Notamacropus eugenii: one gene and its partner. The protein of the gene in region 1 interacts with the protein of each later gene in a pairwise test. Links are inferred from orthologs where the notes say so. Each region holds a gene or a part of one and is shown on either strand. Other genes may lie near its edges.

Region 1 (10,586 bases):
TACAATCCCGGAACTCTCCAAGGGTTGAGTTCCTTCTAAATCTTCTTTGGATGCTACTTTTGCTCCAAGGTGAGCCTTTTCCAGAAAGTTAACAGGACATTTTACAAATGGTAGAGAGAAACACCAAAACAAAATCCCTGGAGATTCTATCTGGGGGATCAGAATCATACTTTAAAAAGGACATCTCAAATATAGGCATATCCCATCCTATTATTTTGCTCTAAGAAAACAGAAGGTAATGATTGATAAATACCCAGTTTTCATTTTAGGGAGTAATTTACAGGGAGTTTTGTGATGTTACAGTTGTATATGGTAATTATTTATTGATGCTTTGCAATAAGAATCATATTACTGCAAAATAACTCTACTCAGAGCAATGTTATTTGGAACATATGGTAATATAACTTGTGCCCAAGAGGCAAATTCAATGTGGGGCTCTTAAGCCCCAGTAGAATATTCACAGGGAGCAAATACGGCTCTGGGACTGACCTGGTGCTTTGGGGAAATCAAGGAAAATTTATAACTACCTGTATTTACAGCTTAAGAACTTTCCTTTCTCAGAGACATAGATACCTCTTGGGTGCGTACAAAGATGCTGATATGACCATGGTTGTCACTGTTGGTGCAGAGTTACTTAAGAAAAGTTTGACCAGTTCCAAATTTCCCTTTTTAATGGATACATGGAAGACAAATTCCCAGATAATCTGGAAACAATTAAACCAAAAAATGCCAACCTCCTGGAAACAACCTGAAGATAAGATTGTGCAGAACTGTGGCCACGGTTGGTAGTAAGTTAAATGCCTACTGAGTAAAGGCAAACTTTCGTTAAACCAATTTAAACTGCTCCTTCTTTCACTCTTAGATGAACTGGGAAATAGCCCCAAATCTGAAAATCAGGAGGATAGGGTAAAGGGGTCTAGGTTTAGAAAAAGAGATTGTCAGCTACAATTAATTACCAGGTTATTGCTGCTAGAGGTTCTCCTTTCACCTCCCCCCCCTTGATACCTGCCTCACAGGTGGGTGTAAACTGTCGACAATCACTGCCCAGGGATGCTGGAGGGATTCCAGGATCAGGACCACAGATTTAGAGTTGAAAAGAGGCTTAAAGGATATCTAGCCCAGCCCCCTCATTTTATAGATGAGAAAACTGAGGCCTAGTTAAGCAACTTGTCCAAGGTCATGGGGTAATACTCAACATGAAAGAGAAGTTTGAGGTTTTAGCAACTCAGGACATTGGGATGCTTAGAGGCAAACATGCAGCACCAGGAAAGACCCAGTGTTTTCTAGTCATACTCACAGGAATGTTCCCAGCAGTAGCCCCAGCTCCAAACCTGGCACCAGGATCATATGCTCCATCCACCAGCACTGTTGAACCCGGGGGGTATACGTGACCAAGTGGATAGTAAGCCAGTGGTACAGCAGAGCCAACAGGCCCAACAGCCACAGACTGACCCATGGGAAGAAACAAAGAAGCACCAGGATATGCAGCTGACATAGTGGGAACTGTTGCAGTCCCTGGGTGCACAAAGTTTGGACGATAGAGCTAAAAAGGGGCAGAAGAAAAAACCAGTTTATTTCCTACGGTATTTATTTTGTATTTTAATAGTCAACGTTCAATTCTCCAGTAGAAACTATGTCACTTATGAAGCCAGCAAATGTCTTAATCATAGCCTCCCTCCCCCTACCTCTGAGCCTGCTCTCAAGACCCTCTCCCCAATGAGGGAGAGCCTAAGGAGAGATGTCAGGGTTGTTACAGTCACCATCATCACCTCCCCCCTCCCATACTGCTCTGCTCTCACTACCCCCTACCCAGGGCTTTCATTAGATAACACATCTTCAACCCAATAGCAATGATTTTTTTCATTCATGCCACTGTTTCTGAAATTCTAACCCTCTATAAAGACAGGGCAATGGTGGCACATGATTTCGGCCTGCTCCAACACCTAAAAATCTTGACACTCTTACCTCAGAATAGGCTGGAGGTGCATCCGTGTATGGTGGAACCTGAGGGAGATGCATGGTTTGAGGGTACACTGGATTTCCAGGAGGCTGCACAGGGTATGTGGGCTGCGTTGGATACTGCCCTAGAAGACACAAAAAGGCACGTGTAGTGGAATCATATGTGGCCAGAGAGAGGGCACGCTGCCCAAAGACTCACACAGCTGTGCAGACCCCTAGAAGTGGGGTCTGACAAACAGCTTGGAAAGGGATGATGCAGCGGAACAAACAGGGGAAGGGGGAAGAAGGTACTATCTTGCAGCTACAGATTAGGGATTCTGATAGGCCCAGGCTGGGAATTGTACAATCTACTCTACAGGAATATGCGGGGGGAGTGTGTCCAGTCAGTTTCAAGGAAAACACCTTATGAATAGGAACTCTTCTGATTATTCTCGGCTCTCTCTGAAGCTGGAGGACTTCTAGGTACCGGTAAGGATAGGAGATGGGATGTACTCATATCAATTAGTAAGGGATCCCTGGCTCCAGGGTTGGCCTTACTAATCATCCTAGTCAGGTGTCTAGATTTGGATGGGTTTCTTGCCTGGATCCAAAGGTCTACAATGACCTTCAAGGTCAACTTCAGAAAGAGGAGATTTAGCAGATGCAGAAGCCGCTAGATCATACATAGATTAAGAGATAGAAATGGTCCAAATCCCTGATTTTACAGATGAGGAAACTGAGCCCCAGAAACCTTAAATGACATACCCAAGGTCACACAGCTAATAAATGTCTGAGCCAGGATTTGCATATATATCCTGTAACTCCAGCACAACTTCCAAAGCCCATCATGGCCTACCACCACACCAGCGGTTTTCCCCCACCAGGGAAGAATAAGAGGATCTTGAAATGGAATAGACCTTAGGGACCTAGGATCACCTAAGCCAATTATCTTATCTAGAGCACTGGACAAGGAGCCAAAGCTCGGAGCTCAAATCCTGTCATAACCCTGGACAGATCACTTCACCTTTCTGTGCCTCAAGTTCCTTCATCTGCATAAAATGGGGAAAACAGCAGCACCTACATCGTAGAATCGTGGTGAGGGCCAAATAATAACAAGAAATCACTGCAAACCCTTGAGGGTTTGCAAAGCACTTTACACTTCTCATTTCATTCGATCCTTAAGACAAATCTGGGAGGCAGGTGTTAATTACTTCCGAGTATTAGCCTAAAAGCAATGGAAGAAGCCACATCCCTATCCCTTTTAATTTGTAAAAAGGGTTTGCGTCCAGTTCTGTTAAATGCGAATGTCATTTACAAATAAACATTTTGCTTTAAAAAGCGAAAAATAAGTCAACCGACTTTGCCACTGTTTTACAGAGGAGTAAACTGAGGCCCAGGTAAGCTGACCGGTCCGCACTCCTTACCAGACTATCCAAATGCCACCTATAGTGACAATTATTGGTCGTTATTGGGAGCCTAATGGTTAGAGGGCACTCTGGATCCGGGAAGTGGAGTAACTTGCCCAAGGTCACACGGTGGGCCTCAGACCTGAACCCCAATCTGGGCTCCTTCCCCTCCCCGGCCAGGCCCCGTTAGAAGGGCTTCCCAGACAATAGAACAATCCAGGGAGAGGGGCGGAGGGCGCCCCGACCCCCGGAGGGGGCTCGCGCCGGTGCTGGGCCGATTTAACCGACACATTCACAGCTATCAAGAAAAGGGAGGCCGGCAGCAAAGCGAGCAGCCCCAGACCGCGGCCCCTAGAGCCCAGCCCTCCCCCAAAGGCACCGACGCTCCCCCTCCAGCTCCCCCAGGCCGGAGGAGGGATGGGGGGCGCCCGTCACCAGGCAGCTCTCGGTCCCGCCCCCGTCCGGCTTCTCATTGGCCAAGCCCCATCGGAGCCCTCGCTCCCCATTGGCCTCGCGGCCTGCCCATCCCGCCCCGGCCCCCCTGCAGCTCAGAACTGCGCCACAGGCTTTAAGGGAAAAAGCTCAGGGAGGGGGCGAGCGGCCGTGGCTCGGGGCCTCGACCGGGAGCGAGCGCGACGCGGGCCCGGGGCCTGGCCCCTCAGCGACGAAGGCGGCCGGCCCCCGTCCGGGCCTACGGCTCCCCGAGGCCCCCGGCCGGCCGGCCCCCGGCCCTGCCCCGCCGGCTTCGCCCCCTGTCCGCTCTTGCCTTTGCTGTTCATGGCGGCGGCGGGTCCGGTTCGGCTTGGGGCTGCGGACGGTGTTTTTTTCGTCCTCTTCCTGTTCCAAGTCACTTCCGTGTCATGTGACGCGCCGTCCTCCCAGAGTCACGGGACGTCCTGGTGACCCCCCCCCCAACCCCTCCTGCGCCGCCACCGGAAGCCCCGCCCCCGGGCGGTGTCTCCAGGGTCAGGACTGAGCTGGGGGTGTCGGGCCTGCCTGGGCCCTCCCCTCTCCGACCCACCCCGGCCCCGCCCTGCAGTCCCAACCTCGCGGGCCCGGTCTACCCGCTCCGCCTCGGGCCACTCGGAGGCTGGGGCTGGGCCGGCCAGCGCCCGTCCCTGCCTCTCCCTAACCCTTCCCGGGTGGCTTCCTCCGAGAAGCCTTCCCAGTTTAGCTCCGCCCACGCCGACACGAAGGAAACGGCGCCCTCGATTCAACCCCCACCCCACCCCCATTTCACAAAGGAGGAAACGGACGCCTGGTGACTTTGGTAAAGCCACAAAATGAGTTTCGTTTTAGAAAGGTTTATTCCTGTCTCCTCGTGAAGCCAGCACGCCTGGGCTCCTTTCCCTTCCTCCCCGTCTCGGTGCTGCCGTCCCACATTACCCCCCGTTCATCCGGTGGATACACAGATACACGCACGTGTGTGTACATACACATACACGTCTCTGTGTGTTACGGGCGAACAGCTGCGGGCTATACGCATGCGTGTTCTTTCCAGATGGATACATGTAGCACGCAAACGGCTCCGGACAAGCGGTGCGTGCAGGCCCCTTCCCCGCACGCCGGGAGCTTCACGAGAGCCGGACGTTCTTGTCCTGGTTCGAAGCCTGGCGCACGTCAGAGTTTAGTAAGTGCTGGGGGACCGAGCACCTGGCCGGGCCCCGCTGCGGGGCTAGTCCTTGACCTCCTGCTCCAAGGTCAAGGTCATTCAGAGCCGCACGTCACCGGGGGAAGATCCTCGTCCCTAAAGCAGCGAAGCCGTTCTGGACGTTTGTTTGCGAGAGGACTAAAGCTTGAGGCTTTGACTTAACTCGCCTGTCACGTAAAGGAAGACAGCCTAGGACAGGAGTTGTTGGGGGGCCTAAGCTTCGCGAGACTCCCCCCACTTGAGACAATACACCTTCCTGACTGCGTGGGGTCCCCGGGGAAACTGGGGAGCTCCAAGGACCTGGGTCCACCTGAGCCAAGCTGTATCCTTGGTGACTAGCATCCTTTCTAGGCCACTACTGAGTAGATTTCTTTAGTTTATGGTCATATAGCCTTCAGGCATTTCAGTTCATCCCAGTCCTGAGCCTGAACCACCGGGCCACAGACAGTCTGGCCTCCTTCACTGACCAAGCATGTCCACTCCCACATTCATGTGTTTCCATAGGCGGCCCCTCATTCCTGGAATGCATTTACTTCTCCCCTCTCCTTCAAAGTCTTAGCTGCCTTCAAGGCTCAGTTCAGTGCCATGTTCCAGGTCAATTTTTTTCCTATGTTACCTAACTTTTAATACTCTATCGCTCCTCAAATTATTTTATATGTACATGTCATATCCTTCCCAGAGAATGTAAGTTCCTTGAGGGCAAGATCTACAAAAAAATGTCACTGTATCCCTAGCACCTGGTACAGTACCGAGCATGTATTGTTCATTTATTCAGTCATATCCAAGACGTATGGACAGTAGCATGCCAGCCACTTCTGTCCTCTACCATCTCCCAAAGTCCATCCAAGCTCATGTTTATTGTTTCTATAATGCTATCCATCTCATTCTCTGCTCTCCCCCTCCCCTTTTTACCTTCAATCTTTCCCAACCCCAAGGTCTTTTCCAGTGAGTTCTTCTTATGGCCAAAGCATTTAAGTTTCAGTTTCAGTCCTTCCAATGAGTAGTCTGAATTAATTTAAGTACTGACAGATTTGATCACCTTGCAGTAGCTTAATAAAAGCCTGTTGTCATTTTTTTGAGGAAAAAGTCCAAGCTATAAATAACCATATGAAAAAATATTCCTAATCATTAATAGAGAAATTCAAATTAGAGCATCTTGGAGGTTCTCATACCCAAGGCTGACCAAAAATATATATATTACAAATGCTGGAGGGGCTGTGGGGAAACAGGTACAGTAATGTACTATTGGGAGAGTTCTGAACTGGTCCAGTCATTTTGGAAAGCAACTTAAAACTATACCACAAAACTGATTAATTTATGCATTCCCTCTGATAGTAGGGCCATACTCCCAAAGAAGTGAGAGATACGTATGTATAAAGTTTTTATAGAAGATCTTCTTGTGTTGGCAAAGAGCTAGAAAATTAAGAGAGTGCCCATCAATTGGAGAATGGATGAACAAATTATGGCATATGAATGTCATGAAATACTACTGTACTGTAAAAATTTATAAGGGGGACAATCTCAGAGAAACCTGGGAAGATTCCTATTAACTGATGTGGAATGAAGTAGGCAGAACCAGAGGAACAATGTATACAGTAACAACAACATCACAAAGACAAATAGCTTAGGAAGAGTTAAAAACGCTTCTTACAGTGACAAACCATGGTTCTGGATGACTCATGATGAAACATGCTCCTCACTTCCTGAGAAAGGTAATAGATCCAGGGTACAGATTGAGATATGGGGTTTTTGCACATTTCTGATGTGGGGATTCATTTTGCTTGACTGTGTGTATTTGTTACAAAGGTTTTGTTTTTGCTTCCTTTTCAATGGGAAGAGGAGTCAGTCAGCATTTATTGTCTACTAGGTGCCAGGCACTGTGCTAAGTGCTGGTGAAACACAAAAAGGCCTGATGAGTCCTTGCCCTCAAGGAGCACACAATGTAATGAGGTGGAGAGGGGGAAGAAACAGATTTTTGTTCATTGAAAATATTAAAATAAGCAACATGATTCATACAAATAATCAAACATACCTTCTGTAGACTGAATAAATATAATTTTATAAGAAAAAAATGCCTGTTGTTATTTGGTCAATCAACCAGAGAAATAATATATACGTAAATACATACAGCATATTTGCAAAATTATCATACACTTGTGTTCAATCTTCTTGACCCCATTCTGGAGTTTTCTTGGCAAAGGTACTGGAGTGGATTGCCATTTCCTTTTCCAGCTTATTTTACAAATGAGGAAACTGAGGCAAGCAGGGTTAAGTGACTTGCCCAGGGTCACACAGCTAGTAAGTGTCTGAGGTAGCAGTTGAAGTCAGGTCTTTCTGACTCCAGGCCTGGCATTCTTTCTACAGCACTACCTAGCTGCCATTTACAAAATAAATAGAGGTAATTTTGGAAGTGAGGCTCTACCAGTGGAAGGGAGCAGAGAACAGTCTAATCGAGAAGACAGAATTTCTAAGAGGCAGAACTGAAGGGGGCAAGGTCCTTTCTGGCATGGGCAAAGGCACTGAGATGGGAGATGGAGTGTAATGTGGGGAACAGCAAAGAGGCCAGTTTAATTGACCTATAGAAGGCATGAAGGGGAATAATCTTAATCAGTCCGGGAAGTAGGTTGGAAGCAGGTTGTGAAGGGATTTGAACTCTAAAGAGAGGAGTTTGTATTTGATCCTACAGGGAGCCCTTGCAATTTATGGAAGAAGGGAATGACATAATCAAATCTGTGCTTTGGGAATATCACATTGGCCTCTGTATGAACCTTGAAATTGGAAAGATGAGACTTGAGGCAGAGGGAACAATTAGAAAGTGACCGAAATAGTCCAATGAAAAGGTAAGGTGATGGTGAATGAGGCCAGTGACCGTAGAAGTAGAGAAAGGGGACTAGTAGAGGAAGTGAGAGAGGTTATAGACATGAAAAGGACAAATTTTAGTAACTGAATGACTAAGTGGGCTGAGGAAGAATGAAGAGTTGAGGATGACACTAAGATTGCAAACCTGGGTGACCAGAAGGATGGAGATACTGTTGTTATTTTATCACTTCCCAGCTAGAAACCTTTGCATTTTCTAGCCTCTAAAATCTTTTCTTCTCTAATTCCTGCCCATTGATATTCTCTTTTTCCCCTCTCTGTCTGATCAAATCTTGTTCATTTTTCAAGGTCCAGTTCATTCTACAGCTTCCATGGAGCCTTTCTTCCCTAAACAGCTCAGTCCCTGGTGATCTTCAAAGTTCTGTAGTGAAAGAGGGTAAAAACAAATTGAGGAATAGCTAATAATACTGTCTGGCTGGAATGTAGTTCACTTGAAGCAAAAAGTGTGAAATAAGGCAAGAATAGTAGGTTGGAGCAAGATTATAAATTGCCTTAAATGCCAAGCTAAGGAGTTCGCATTCTATAAGCAATGGGAAATCACTAGAGAGTTCTGTGCAGAGAAATCACATCATTAGACCTGAGTTTTAAGAAGATTATTTTTGTAACTGTGTAGAGGACTGATTAGAAAAATGAAGCCTGCAAACAGGGAAACCAGTTAGGTGGATACTATTAGTGTTCCAGCTAGAAAGGGAAGGATGAGGACCTGAACCAGGGTAGTAGCAAAGAAAGGTAAGGACAGATGTTAGAGTTATTGTGGCAGTAAAATCAACAGGACCTTTATTATCTGAAGTTGGGGGGTGGGGATGGAGTGAGGGATTAGAGTCAAAGATAACTGTGAGGTTTCAAACCTGAATCATTGAGAGGAAAGCAGCACCATAAATAGGAACTGAGAAAATTGGAAGGAGGCAGATTTATGGTGGAAGATGAGATATTCAGTGCTAGATGTTTGGAGTTTGAGAAGCCAGCAGGACAATATAGCAGGTAGCTAGATTTGCAGGATGGGAGCTTGGGGGAGATCTCACTAAGCTTTGGAGAAAAAATTGGAAACTGTCAAAAAACTTTTTATCCATCAGTCAGTAAACATTAGTTAAGTTCCTACTATGTACCTGGCACTATGCTAAGCATTGGAGATATAAAGAAAGGTAAATACAACCCCTTCTCTCAAAGAGCTTATAATCCAATGAAGAAACAATGTAAAAACAAATATGTACAAACAAGCCACATATAGGATAAATTGGAGATAATGAACAGAGGAAAAGCAGTAGAATTAAGGTGGATCAGGAAAAGTTTTCTGCAGAAAGTGGAGTTTTAGCTGAGATTTAAAGGAAGCTAGGGAAACTAGGAAATAGAAATGGAGAGGGGGAGCATTCTAAGCATGGAGGAGAGCCAATCAAAGTGCCTGAATTCAGGAGATGGAGTATATCTTATTCTAACAACAGCAAAGAGGTCAGTGTTACTGGATTACAAAGTGGGGAGGGGAGGAAATGTATGATATAAGTAACTGGAAGGGAAGGTGGGTTTAAAGGGCTTTAAAAGCCAAACCAAAGGTTTTATATTTGAACCTGGAGATGATAGGGAGCCATTGAAGTTTACTGAGTGATGAAATAGTTAGACCTGTTCTTTAGGAACATCAATTTGACAGCTGAGAGGAAGTGAGATCAACCAGCAGGCTGTTACAGTAATCCAGGTGTGACTTGAGGAGGGCTTGCACCAAATGAGCTGGGAAAAAATATTCTCCAATCTGTCCATTTGAGAAAATCTCTGAGAGAGGCAGAGCCAAGATGGCAGAGTAGAGAAATATTCAGTCAAGTTCTCCCAAATTCTCCTCCAAACAACCTAAAATAACATCTCAAATCAAATTCTGGAGCAGCAAAACCAACAAAAGGTTGGGTGAAATAATTTTCTAGCCCAAGACAACTTAAGAGGCTGGCAGGAAGGGTCTGTCTCACTGGAGTGTTGGTTGGATCTGGAGCACAGTTCAGATTCCACGATGCAGACCCTCCATGCTACAGAACTAGCAGGAGCCTTGGAGGTGACTATATTGGTGGCAGCAGCAGCAGCAGCTTTGGGAGTTCTCAGCCTAGAGACCATTGGGAGAGGGGCATCAGACAACTGGTCAGGAGATTGCAGGTAACCCTTTGCTGGCCCTGGTTTTAGGACCCTTTCATTGCCCACACATAGTTCTGAGTGACAGTGCAAGGGTCAAAAGGAGTGATACCTCCTGTGGTCACAGGGAAGCTGGGGCCTTGATTGAGGTTCCAGGGCAGAGAGGAGTGCTCTTGGGGGAATAGAGACCCTGATCTCAATTCCAAGACAAATGGAAGCACTAGTCTGCAACTTCAGGAACGCAGGGACCTGATCACAATCGCAGGCCAGTAGTGGTGGTTAAAGGGGAACAAAATTCTTTCCTGGGTAAAGACCAAAGCACAAGCCAGGAGAGCAGGTTCTATACTCTCCTTAGATCTTAGCACCTTGGAAGCACTGAAAACCTACAGACCCCCCCAGAACTATCTCTGAAAAAAAGTAGCAAAAAAGGCCTAAAGCTTGAGACAGTGCCACTTCCATCCCAAGAGCAGAGCCCAGCTTTAACATAAAGTTCAAAGTCAAGAAATAGACAAGGAAAATGAACAACAACAACAAAAAAAAAAAACAAAAGAACATGACCATAACAAGTAATCATAGTGATTAAAGATCAAGACACAAACCCAGAAGAA
Region 2 (10,101 bases), on another chromosome or scaffold:
AGATACTAACTATAATAGTGGAAAGTGCACCATTCTCACATGCATTATAACACAAAGCACGAAACACTAATACATGAACTAGTTTCACAGATGAGAGAAGTACTTTGTTCTGTATTTGGGGGTTTCTTAACAGCCTATGACCAAAAGCCACCTTTTTCTGGAGGTGTTTTCTTTCGTGAAATGTGAATAAAAGATTTCTAATATTTTCTCATATGGTACAGAGATGGAATTAACTTTACTCTTAACTAATAATCATAGGCTATGCTCTATTAAAAATGTTCATAACTGGAAGAACTGTCAAACAAAATTGCTAGTTGCTGCTAGTAAAAAATCACTTTCATCTTCTGAACATTTTGACACTGCATAAGGGAGTATTCTATTTCAAGTACTGGCTTGTCATAATTATTAGAGATGCTCTGCCCCATTCTGATTACTAAACTTGCTTCTTTGTTGGACTATACAGCAAAGGTAAGGTATTCAAGAAGAGTTACAGGTCAAGGGGGAAGCAAAAGGTGAAAAGAAATTGTAATCAGCAGCATACCATATTAAAAACTCAGTTTTACCAATTTTTTGAAGGCTACATAAGTTTTACAGTAAATATTTCAGCCAGGGAACCATCTTCAGATATAAATTGTGTTATAGAAGACAATTACAGCTAAATTATTCCTAAACTTTTAATGATAAAAACAAACTACTTTGCCTAGCTAGCAATTTACAAAAGATTAAAGTAGTATGAAGCACAGCAAGTTGAAGCAAAACATATTATTTAATTTCTTTATTTTCCCCAAGAGGAATGACTAGTCATTCTTCAGCTGCAAAAGTTTACTATGCTTTTATGAACTCTTGTTTAAAACAATTTGCTTAAGGACCACATGAAAAATATGATAGTTGCTTCATAATTTAACATGGATCTTTTTTTATATGGTTTAAAATGGAATTTTACAGTTGCCTAAAATGTTTCCCTAGAGTATGCTTATGGAATTCCAAATTCCATTTTGAAGACCTCATTCTCATTCATAAATTCAACAAATATTTATTAAACATTTTCTATGAGTAAAATACTTTTCAAAATTCAGCAAGTTCTATTCAAATATTAAGTAACAATTAGGCTGAAATACAAGATGCAGCTGGTGGCAGACTGGAATTTTTGGGCCTGATTTCAGAAAGACCTGAATTCAAATCAAGTCTCAGGAACTTAATAGCTATGTAACCCTGGGTAGGTCATTATCTGCCTGCCAGTTTTCTCCACTGTACTATGGGGATACTAACAGCACCTACTTTCTAGCTTTGTTGTGAGGATCAAATGAAAGAAGATTTATAAAGTCCTTAGCACAGTGTCTGGCACGTAGTGGATGCTATATAAATACTTACTCCCTTCCCCCCAACAAACTCAATTTCCCAATTGCAATGAATGGCTCTGCATTGCCTTTATCTTTCACAAAACCATCTACTTCTGCAGAACTTTCGGCCTACATGGTAAACTTACACTCATCTATGTCAGAACTAAAACTTTTAAAGATTGATTCTTCCAAGTATGGTCCTGTGAACTTTGGAGGTATTCTTCAGGCGATCCACAAGGCCAAAACTATTCCCATTATAATACTTAGACATATTAATTTTTAATACATTATCAAGAGATATAACCCACATAAAAGCTCTTTGGGGTCCTCAATAATTTTTAAGAATATAAAGAGATCCTAAGTTCAAAAAGTATGACAACCGCTTGATCAAATCAACCTTTGTATTTCATGAAGGAATGAAGGTCATGAGAAAATAACTAAGGAAGGTCACACAGCTAGTGAACGGCAGAGTCAAAATCTGAAGCAAATTCTTCTGGTTTTAACTATGTAGTCTTGTGTTTATTTATTCCAAATTCAACAACACTACCTGTGGTTAATTTTTAAAAGTGCAAATATCCTGAACTTCAAGTACAAGGATTGTGTTTTATACTGTTTTATATAAAACAGCAAAGGGCCCAGCCCAGATAAGGGGTTCAATAAATTACTGTTGATGACAATGACTTTGACAAATTCCAAATTTGTTTTTAAAAAATCATTTAAACAAAATTTCAGTGAACATTTGTAGATGGTCTAGAACCAGTTAATTTTGAGTATCTGCTATCCCTTTTAGCCAGGAAAAAAGGATATTCAGGGCCGAGGACCATTTTATATTTTTGGTCATTGCAAGAGTTGCCATGGCCAAAAAATTTCACCATCAGGTGGCCAACCTTCTGGTGATTAGAAGTGACAATAATATCTGATATTTATCAGGAATCATTTCTTCCCCAGAAGAAATTTGAAGAGCATGCTGTTTCATTTTTTTTTTTTATCTCTCTTAGTACCTAATAGTGCATTATACACATAAGGCACTGAATAAAAATTTTTGAATGACTAGATCACATCAACCAAATAATAACAGAAGTAGTAGTTATTCTCACATTTTAGGGTGGGAAACAAATTCAAATAATTTACTTATGAATGCAAATAGGAAGTAAGCAGTGAAACCAGCTAGGCCTGAAGGTCCATCCAGAAATAAAACTAAGCTATTTATTGGTTTTGCACTGACAAGTGTATGTGCCCATATCTAAATTTCTTGCTCTCTTTGCTTCAGATGATCCATTTATAAAGTAATGATTATAAAATTCATATCCCCTTCATTACTACTTATTACAGTACAGGAATCACTTTTAAAGTTTTACAATACTAAGCTGAGTAAAATGGAATGGAATGGAACACAGTAACAACAAAAAAGCAATTCTAACAGATTTAGTGCTTAAATATAGAAAGGGAAAGAAAATATGTAAGTCCAGAAATACCTAAAGGTTTGCCTTTTAATTCCGGATGAGAGATCATTTCTACTTGTGCATAAAAGCAATCCAGATCCACGTGTACTATGACTCTGTAGGAGGCACTTTCTGCCGGCACAACTTGACCATGAACTGCTGCACCACATGCAAAGGAATGCAAAATATTTTCAGACTCCTGACCCTAGGCTAACAGGGTAGGGTGGTGGTAAAAGATGGTGAATAACAAAAGTGTGGTCTGCCAGGCTTAACAGTTTTGTCTTTCCCTGACTTACCCTATGAGCCAAGGTTTTAAGTTATAGTTTTCAGAATACTCCAATGGATTAAAAAAACAAAAAAGCAACTTTTACCTGACATCTATACAATTTAGCACAACTGCTTAATTCCGAAAAAGGGAAAAAAAATCATAAAACATAAATACCCTCCTGGAAGGAAGATGAAGTGATTTAGATAATTTCCACGGAACTAGGGGAACCTGATTCCTCACGCACTTCACTATACTCGGCCCACGTGGCTAACGTCAGGGTCCAAATGGCGGGGAACAAGAGCTGTGTGTTTTAGAGCTGAACATCCCCACGAGCAGACTTGAAAGCTCAGGCAAAGGGGCGATAAGGGCCCAGGAGAGGCCGCCCTGCCTGCCCCAAGCCACAACCCAGCCAGATCTCTCCAATCGCCAGGCCGTGGGTGGGGTGAAGCGGGCGGGGAAGGGCACCCCGCCCCGGGGCCACAAGCCCTGCCCCTGCCTGCCCTGCCCCCGCAGGACCCATCTCATCATCCCTCCCCAGAGCCACGCGGGCAACAGACCAGCTCCCGCGTGGACCGGGGCGGGACGTCACAGCTGCTCAAACCTTGAACTTGGTGGGAGGGCCTTTCGTGTCTCGGATTTTTTTTTTTTATAAATAAGTTTAAAAAATGTTTTTGTTAATGCACCCTCGCTTGCCTAACACGTGGAGAAGTAAAAATACCCTCCACCCTCCACAGGACATCCCGGCAGCCCCTGGGGCTCACTCCAGCCCTCCTCTGGGCCAGAGCCGGGGGGTGGGCCCTGGGACCTCTCGGCGGAAGCCCTTCCCGGGGAGTCTGCCCTGGGGCGGGGCCGCGCCCTCCGCCCCCCGCCCCCCGCCCCCCGGCGGGCCGAGGCCCTTCCCCCTCTCCCCGCAGCCGCTCTCATTTCATTTACAAGGAGCGAGGCGGACGGCCTCCACGGGCCCCGTGGCGCTCTGAGAGCCTCCTGCCGCCCCTAAGAGCTGAGAGTCCATAGTGTCTTCCTCCTCGTCTTCTTCTTCGTCGTCCTCGTCCTCCTCTTCCTCCGGCTCCACCCCTAGCGTGTCCATTCCGCGGCGGCCAACCGCAGCTTCGCCTTCCTGTCGCCTCCGCCCCCGTCGCCCCGGGAAACGGCGGGCTCACAGGTCCCGCCCCTTCGGGGCCTTGGCGGAAGGACGAGGCCGGCCAGCCAATTAACGGCGGGGCGCACGCGGGCGCATGCGCTCTCCTCAGCCCGCCCGCCTGCCTTAAGGGAAACGGAAGCTGACGCCTTGCTTCTGACGGGGAAGTCCCTCTGGCACCGAGCTGTAGGCTAAAGTCCCCACGAGAGAGAACGAAAGCTCCAGACTAGCCATATTTAGTTGACATCGACAGAAATAGCCCTACGACACACGTAGGTACTCCTCCTTTGTAAGGCGTAACCCCATCCGTTAGCCAATGGCCCAATTCCCTCACTGGCCGGCTCTCGACTAGGGGGACCACGGGAAAATGGGCGCCATAGGAGATATTAGGGATTTGCTTGTTTGTTTGTTTATGAGTGGGCATTTTCCTTCCACCCTTCCCCCTAAGAAGCCTCTTAGGTAATGGCTTTAACTCAGTCCACTACAAATAAGATTAAAAAAATGTTAACGGAAGAATCAGAATTTAGATCTACGTTTTATATGTAGGGAAGTGACTTGTCCAAGGTCTTGGACTTCCTTTGCACCACATGAAACTGCTGCTGGAAAAAGCAGGAATGCCTGGGCTGCTACTAAATAGCAAAACTGTTATATATCTATGTCTATATATTTATATATATATCTATAGTGATGAAAATCAAAAGAAAGAAAAAAATCTCAAAAACTACAGTCTGAACAGGTTCACCCCTGGAGAACCTTGAGAAGTTTATGCGGCAGAGGTGAGGGTGCTGTTGGGATTAAAGAAATGGGAAAAGAAAGGCTACTGGAAGAGTTTTAGGTGTATATTGGGATAGAATAATTTTATGGAAAAGCAGTCAGACTTTTTTGAAGAATTCCAGTTAGAGGGGAGCTACTATAGAATCTCTGAAATGATTGGAGACAAAGTCAGAAATCTGAAAGGTCTCCTCATTATATACATATATGTGTGTATGTACACATATATATATGTATATAATGAGTCTCTCTATATATACACACATATATAAGGATTACCTTCATTGGAGATCTTCAAACAAAGGTTGTTTAGTCTAATATAGTATACACACATATATGTGTATGTATATGGTAATAAAGGTAATCCAATTGCCTCCCAAAGCATCCTATTCCACCTTTGGATATTTCATTAGGAAGTTTTCCCTTACATCAAAACCTAAATTTGCCTCTTGGCTATTTCTACCCATTACTGCCACCATCTAAGTCCAAACAGAACCAGTAATTAATCATTACTCTTCCACATGAAAATCCTTCACATATTGGATCCTGACTATCATCCAATGTGTTAGCTACCCCTCCTGGTTTTGTGTAGTCTACACATTTGAGATTCACACACACACACACACACACAAACACACACGCATGCATGTGCACACACACACCTTTATCCAAGTCACTAATAAAAAAATGTATAACTGCCCAGGCACAAACAATACCGTGGTGCCACTCCAACTGGAGAGTGTATTCCAAGTTGACGTAGGTCATAAATTTTGAACTAGAAGAAACCTTAGAGGCTATCAAATCGAACTTCCTTATTTTACAGATGAAGAAACTGAGGCACAAAAACGTTACTTGTCCAGGGTGACGTAGCTAGTACAGGTCTGAGTTAGGATTTGAACTGAGGTCTTACAGAGACCAAAGTGAGCACTCTGCACATTAGCTATTCCATCAAACCAATAATCATTACTTTTGGGGTCCAACCTTTCAATGGATTCCCCAAAGTATTCCTAAGGCAAGTCATTTCACTTTCAAACTACTCTAATTATTAAGAATCCTTATGTTGTTCATATAGGCCTCTTTACAATTTCTGCCTAGACTTCTAGTGCAAGCCTCTAGAGCCAAACAGAAGTCTCATGCCTCTTCCATGTGACAATCCTTCACATATTTGAAAACAGCTTTAATATTTCCTCTGCAAGTCTTCTCTTTTCCAGGCTAAATATTCTTTCCAATACTTGAAGACAGTTATGTGTCCCTTCAGTCTTCTCTTAACAGTCTAAACAAGCCACTTCCTTAAAAGTGATTCTCATATGGCACATACTTGAAGTGCTTCATTCTCCTCTGGGTGCTCTCCTGTTTATTGAGGTCTTTAAATTACAATGCTCAGAAATGATCATAGTACTTCCAGGTGCAGTATGACCACGTCATTGTACAGAAAGGGGATCAAGTTTTTATTTCTGGAATCTATGTATCTGCTAATTAGGCAGTTAGGTGGTAACATGGATAGAGCAAGGGGCCTGGAGTCAGGAAAGTCTGAGCTCAGATCCAGCCTCAGACCTTTATGAGGTATGGGATCTTGCACAAGTCGTTTAACCTTTGTCTGCCTCAGTTTTCTCATAAAAAAAATGTCACCTAAAGTTGTTATAAGGATCAAATAAGATATTTGTAAAGCACATGGCACAGTGCCTGGCTCATAATAGAGAGCTGTTGAAATTTTAGTTATTATATGACTCAAGATCATATTTTCTTTTTTTCTTCTGCTGCCCATCTCACTCCTGATTCATTTTGAAGACCCAGATAATTTTCAGACAGACTACTGTCTAACTGTGGCTTACCCATTCTATATTTGTAAAGTTGATTTTTTGAACCTAGATGTAAAAAGTTCACTTTTGTCTCTATTGAATTTCATCTTATTAAATTTATCCCAAATCTCTAGATTGGCATGATCCTTTTAGATATTGTCACATATTGTGTTAGTTATTTTGCCCAGCTTTGTGTCACCTGCAATTTTGATAAGCATGCCATCTCTGCCCTTATTTAAATCAATAAAATAAATACAAATACACAAAGCCAGCCGTAGGTTCCTTTGCCACCCACTGGAGACCTTTGGTCAAAGTGACATTAAACCAGTAAGTATTCTTGGAGACTAGTCATCCATTTCCAAGTCTGTCTAATGGCATTGTTATTTCATCTGCTGTAACTCCATATTTTCCACAATCATAATAGGAAGTTCTTGAAACGCTTTGCTAAAATCTAGCTGGTCTAACTCCACCATTTCCCTAATCTTCTAGCTTACTAACTCTGTCAAAATGAAAATAAGATTAGTCTGTCATGACCTGTTCTTCATGAGCCATGAAGGCATTTTATAATTACTACTTCCTTTTCGAGATGTTCTCTCACCATCTCTTTAATGATTCATTTTGCCACATTACGCTGCTGATTCATATTAAACTTGCAGTCCACCAAAACCCCCTGATCTTTTTTAGACAATCTGCTGTCTAACCATGCTTTTTCTATCTGACTTGGGATACTGATATTTTTTCAATCCAAGTCTGTTTTTATATTTATCCTTATTAAATTTCGTTTTGCTGTGTACCATTCATTATTTAAATCTATTGAAATGCTTTTAGATCCTTACTATGTCAGCCAGCATGTTAGCTATTCCTGTTTCCATTACGTTCAAATTGGATGGGCATCTCATCAATTCATCTGTTAACTTGGTTCTTCCTATGGCCTCTTATTTGATATCCTTACTTCCAATCTCTTCCCCCCTCCAATCCATCCTCCATACAACTGGATAATTAATGTTCCTAAGACACAGGTCTAACTATGTCACTCCCTTGCTCAAAAATTGTCAGTGTCTTCTTGTTACCTCTAGGATAAAAGACAAAACAAAAAAAAAAATGGACACTTAAAACTTAAACTTAAAAAGTTTGTCTCCTATTCACTTTTCCAGACTTATTTTATAATACTGTCATTCAAATGTTCTACATTCTAGATAAAATGACTTACTAGTAGTTCCTGGAACTCAGCATCCCACACACTCTCTCTGTGCCTTTGCACAGGCTTTCCCTGCAATACAATCCCTTTTCACCTCAGCTTCTTAGAATTCTAGTTTATTTTAAGGCTCAGCTCAGGTGTCACATCCTGAAGGAGACCATGCTTTCTATATCTTTATATTAGCTTATATGTTTATCTAGATAGCTAGATATAGATAAATATAGATAGATAAACTAAGTGCCAAAATAAAACTTTTTTGCATCCCTAGTGCTTAGCACAGTGCCTGACATAAAATGTATATTGATTGGTTGTGCTTTGTATTATGTATTAAATATATATTGGGTCTTCCAGTAGAATGTAATTTTCTTAAGTACAGGGACTATTTCATTTTTTTCTTTGTATCTCTAAAACAGTGCCTTTCTTACACATAGTTCTAAATAAATACTTGTTAGACTGGATTACATTCATTGAGAATGGGAGTATATAAAATACTAATATCTATGGTTATCTAGAAAGGAAAATTCACATATAGTATTCTTAATACAGAGAAAACAAGCTACTTTTATTATTTGTTATCACTGATTTGATTTCAGAAAACATGGAGTAGAGGAGAGCTAATGACCCTCTCAAATACAAATAAAAATATAGTGAATTTTGTTGACATGTCTTTTATTCTGAATTTCTTCATGGTTTTAACTTAATAATCTCAAGAAATAAATATTTTGTGCCATAAGGATAATTTAGCACATAGAACAGTTGAGAAAAATAAAAATCGGACTAAATAAACATTGTTTTAAATCAAATAACATAAAAAAGCTTTTAAAAATTTAAAAAATTAAACTAAATAAAATTTTAACCAACATAAATCAATGTGAGAGGTTTGGAGAGAAAAGATTCTTTTTACTTCCTCACACTGCTTCTAATGCCCATCTTAATCTACTCAGAAAAGAAATCAGACAGGTTAGAGACATTGCAAAAAAGCTTTCAGGGAATAGGGTCCTCAGTAGGAAGTGAGGGGAAAAATAGTAAGTATTTGATGATGGTGGAGAGGCAAGGAAATAGAACAGAATATAAAAGTGTCATTAATAATGCATTGGGAAAAACTCTTGAAGGCCTGGAAAGATTGGTGTTGGTATCATCCTGATAAAGACCAGTGCTATTGAAAGCCCTATTGAGTTGTTAAGAGCATTCTCCAGTTATAATGAAACATAGATTTCTAGATATTTGTGTAGTGCTCATTTATTTTAAGTAATCAAATCAAATTACTGGTGTCAAAAATGAAAAATAAGAATTCACAACAAAAAAAGAAAAAAAGTAAGTTACTAGAAACTATTTTGCCTAACTATATATGCCAATAAAACTGGCAACTTAAATGAATACTTTATTAACATAAAAATTCCAAATTAATAGAATGAGAAACAAAGAACTTAAATAACTCAATAACAGAAAAAAATTGAATGATCCACAAATAATTCATACAGAAAAAAACAGGACCATAAAGAATTAGAAGTGAATTTTATCAAACAACTGAAGAAAAGATAATTATGATAGAACGTAAACTGAAAAAACAGGAAAATAAGATATCCGACCAAATTCCTTCCATGATAGAAATAAGGTCTTGATGCCTAAACCAGGAAGAATCACTGTAGAAAAAGGCAACTACACATCTATACTGAACATTAATGAAAATTTTGAAATTTCAAATTTTTTGAAATAAAATGAAATAAAATATTTTAAATAAAATATAGGTTAATATATCACTATGATCAAGTTGGATTAGTAATAAGAATACAGGGTTGTTTCCTGCATTAGGAAACTTAGAAACATAATAGACTATATTATTAATAAGAACAATAAAACTCACATGATTATATTAACAGTTGCAGAAAATTTTTTTGGTAAGCTATAATGCCCAATCTTACTAAAACAATGGATAATACATGAATAAAAGAACTTTGCCTTAGTGTGATAAGTATTATCTGTCTAAAACCAAGAGCCAGCATTGCGTGTAATGGGGATAAACTAAAAACCTTTCTAATAAGGCCAGAGATAAAGCAAGGGTGTCTACTATCATGATTTCTATTTGATATAATGCTAGAAATTTTAAAAATAGAAATTGAGAGAATAATTATAGGCAAAGAAGAA

The links.
Region 2: the proteins of DAZAP2 (region 1) and POLI interact in binary tests that used the Homo sapiens proteins (3 or more experiments, as listed by UniProt). The two-hybrid records come from large-scale screens. The link is inferred for Notamacropus eugenii from reciprocal best matches to the Homo sapiens genes DAZAP2 and POLI.

Annotation. Positions count from the first base shown.
Region 1 is NC_092874.1:223,614,533-223,625,118, reverse strand, and holds the start of DAZAP2 (DAZ-associated protein 2), read right to left. Parts: upstream 4,309-10,586; 5' UTR 4,124-4,308; coding exon 4,111-4,123; intron 3,753-4,110; exon of another isoform or gene 3,363-3,752; intron 2,085-3,362; coding exon 1,966-2,084; intron 1,544-1,965; coding exon 1,298-1,543; intron 1-1,297. UniProt on the Homo sapiens protein: In unstressed cells, promotes SIAH1-mediated polyubiquitination and degradation of the serine/threonine-protein kinase HIPK2, probably by acting as a loading factor that potentiates complex formation between HIPK2 and ubiquitin ligase SIAH1.
Region 2 is NC_092875.1:436,981,147-436,991,247, forward strand, and holds the start of POLI (DNA polymerase iota), read right to left. Parts: upstream 4,138-10,101; coding exon 3,984-4,137; intron 3,886-3,983; exon of another isoform or gene 3,225-3,885; intron 2,942-3,224; coding exon 2,816-2,941; intron 1-2,815. UniProt on the Homo sapiens protein: Error-prone DNA polymerase specifically involved in DNA repair. Plays an important role in translesion synthesis, where the normal high-fidelity DNA polymerases cannot proceed and DNA synthesis stalls. Favors Hoogsteen base-pairing in the active site.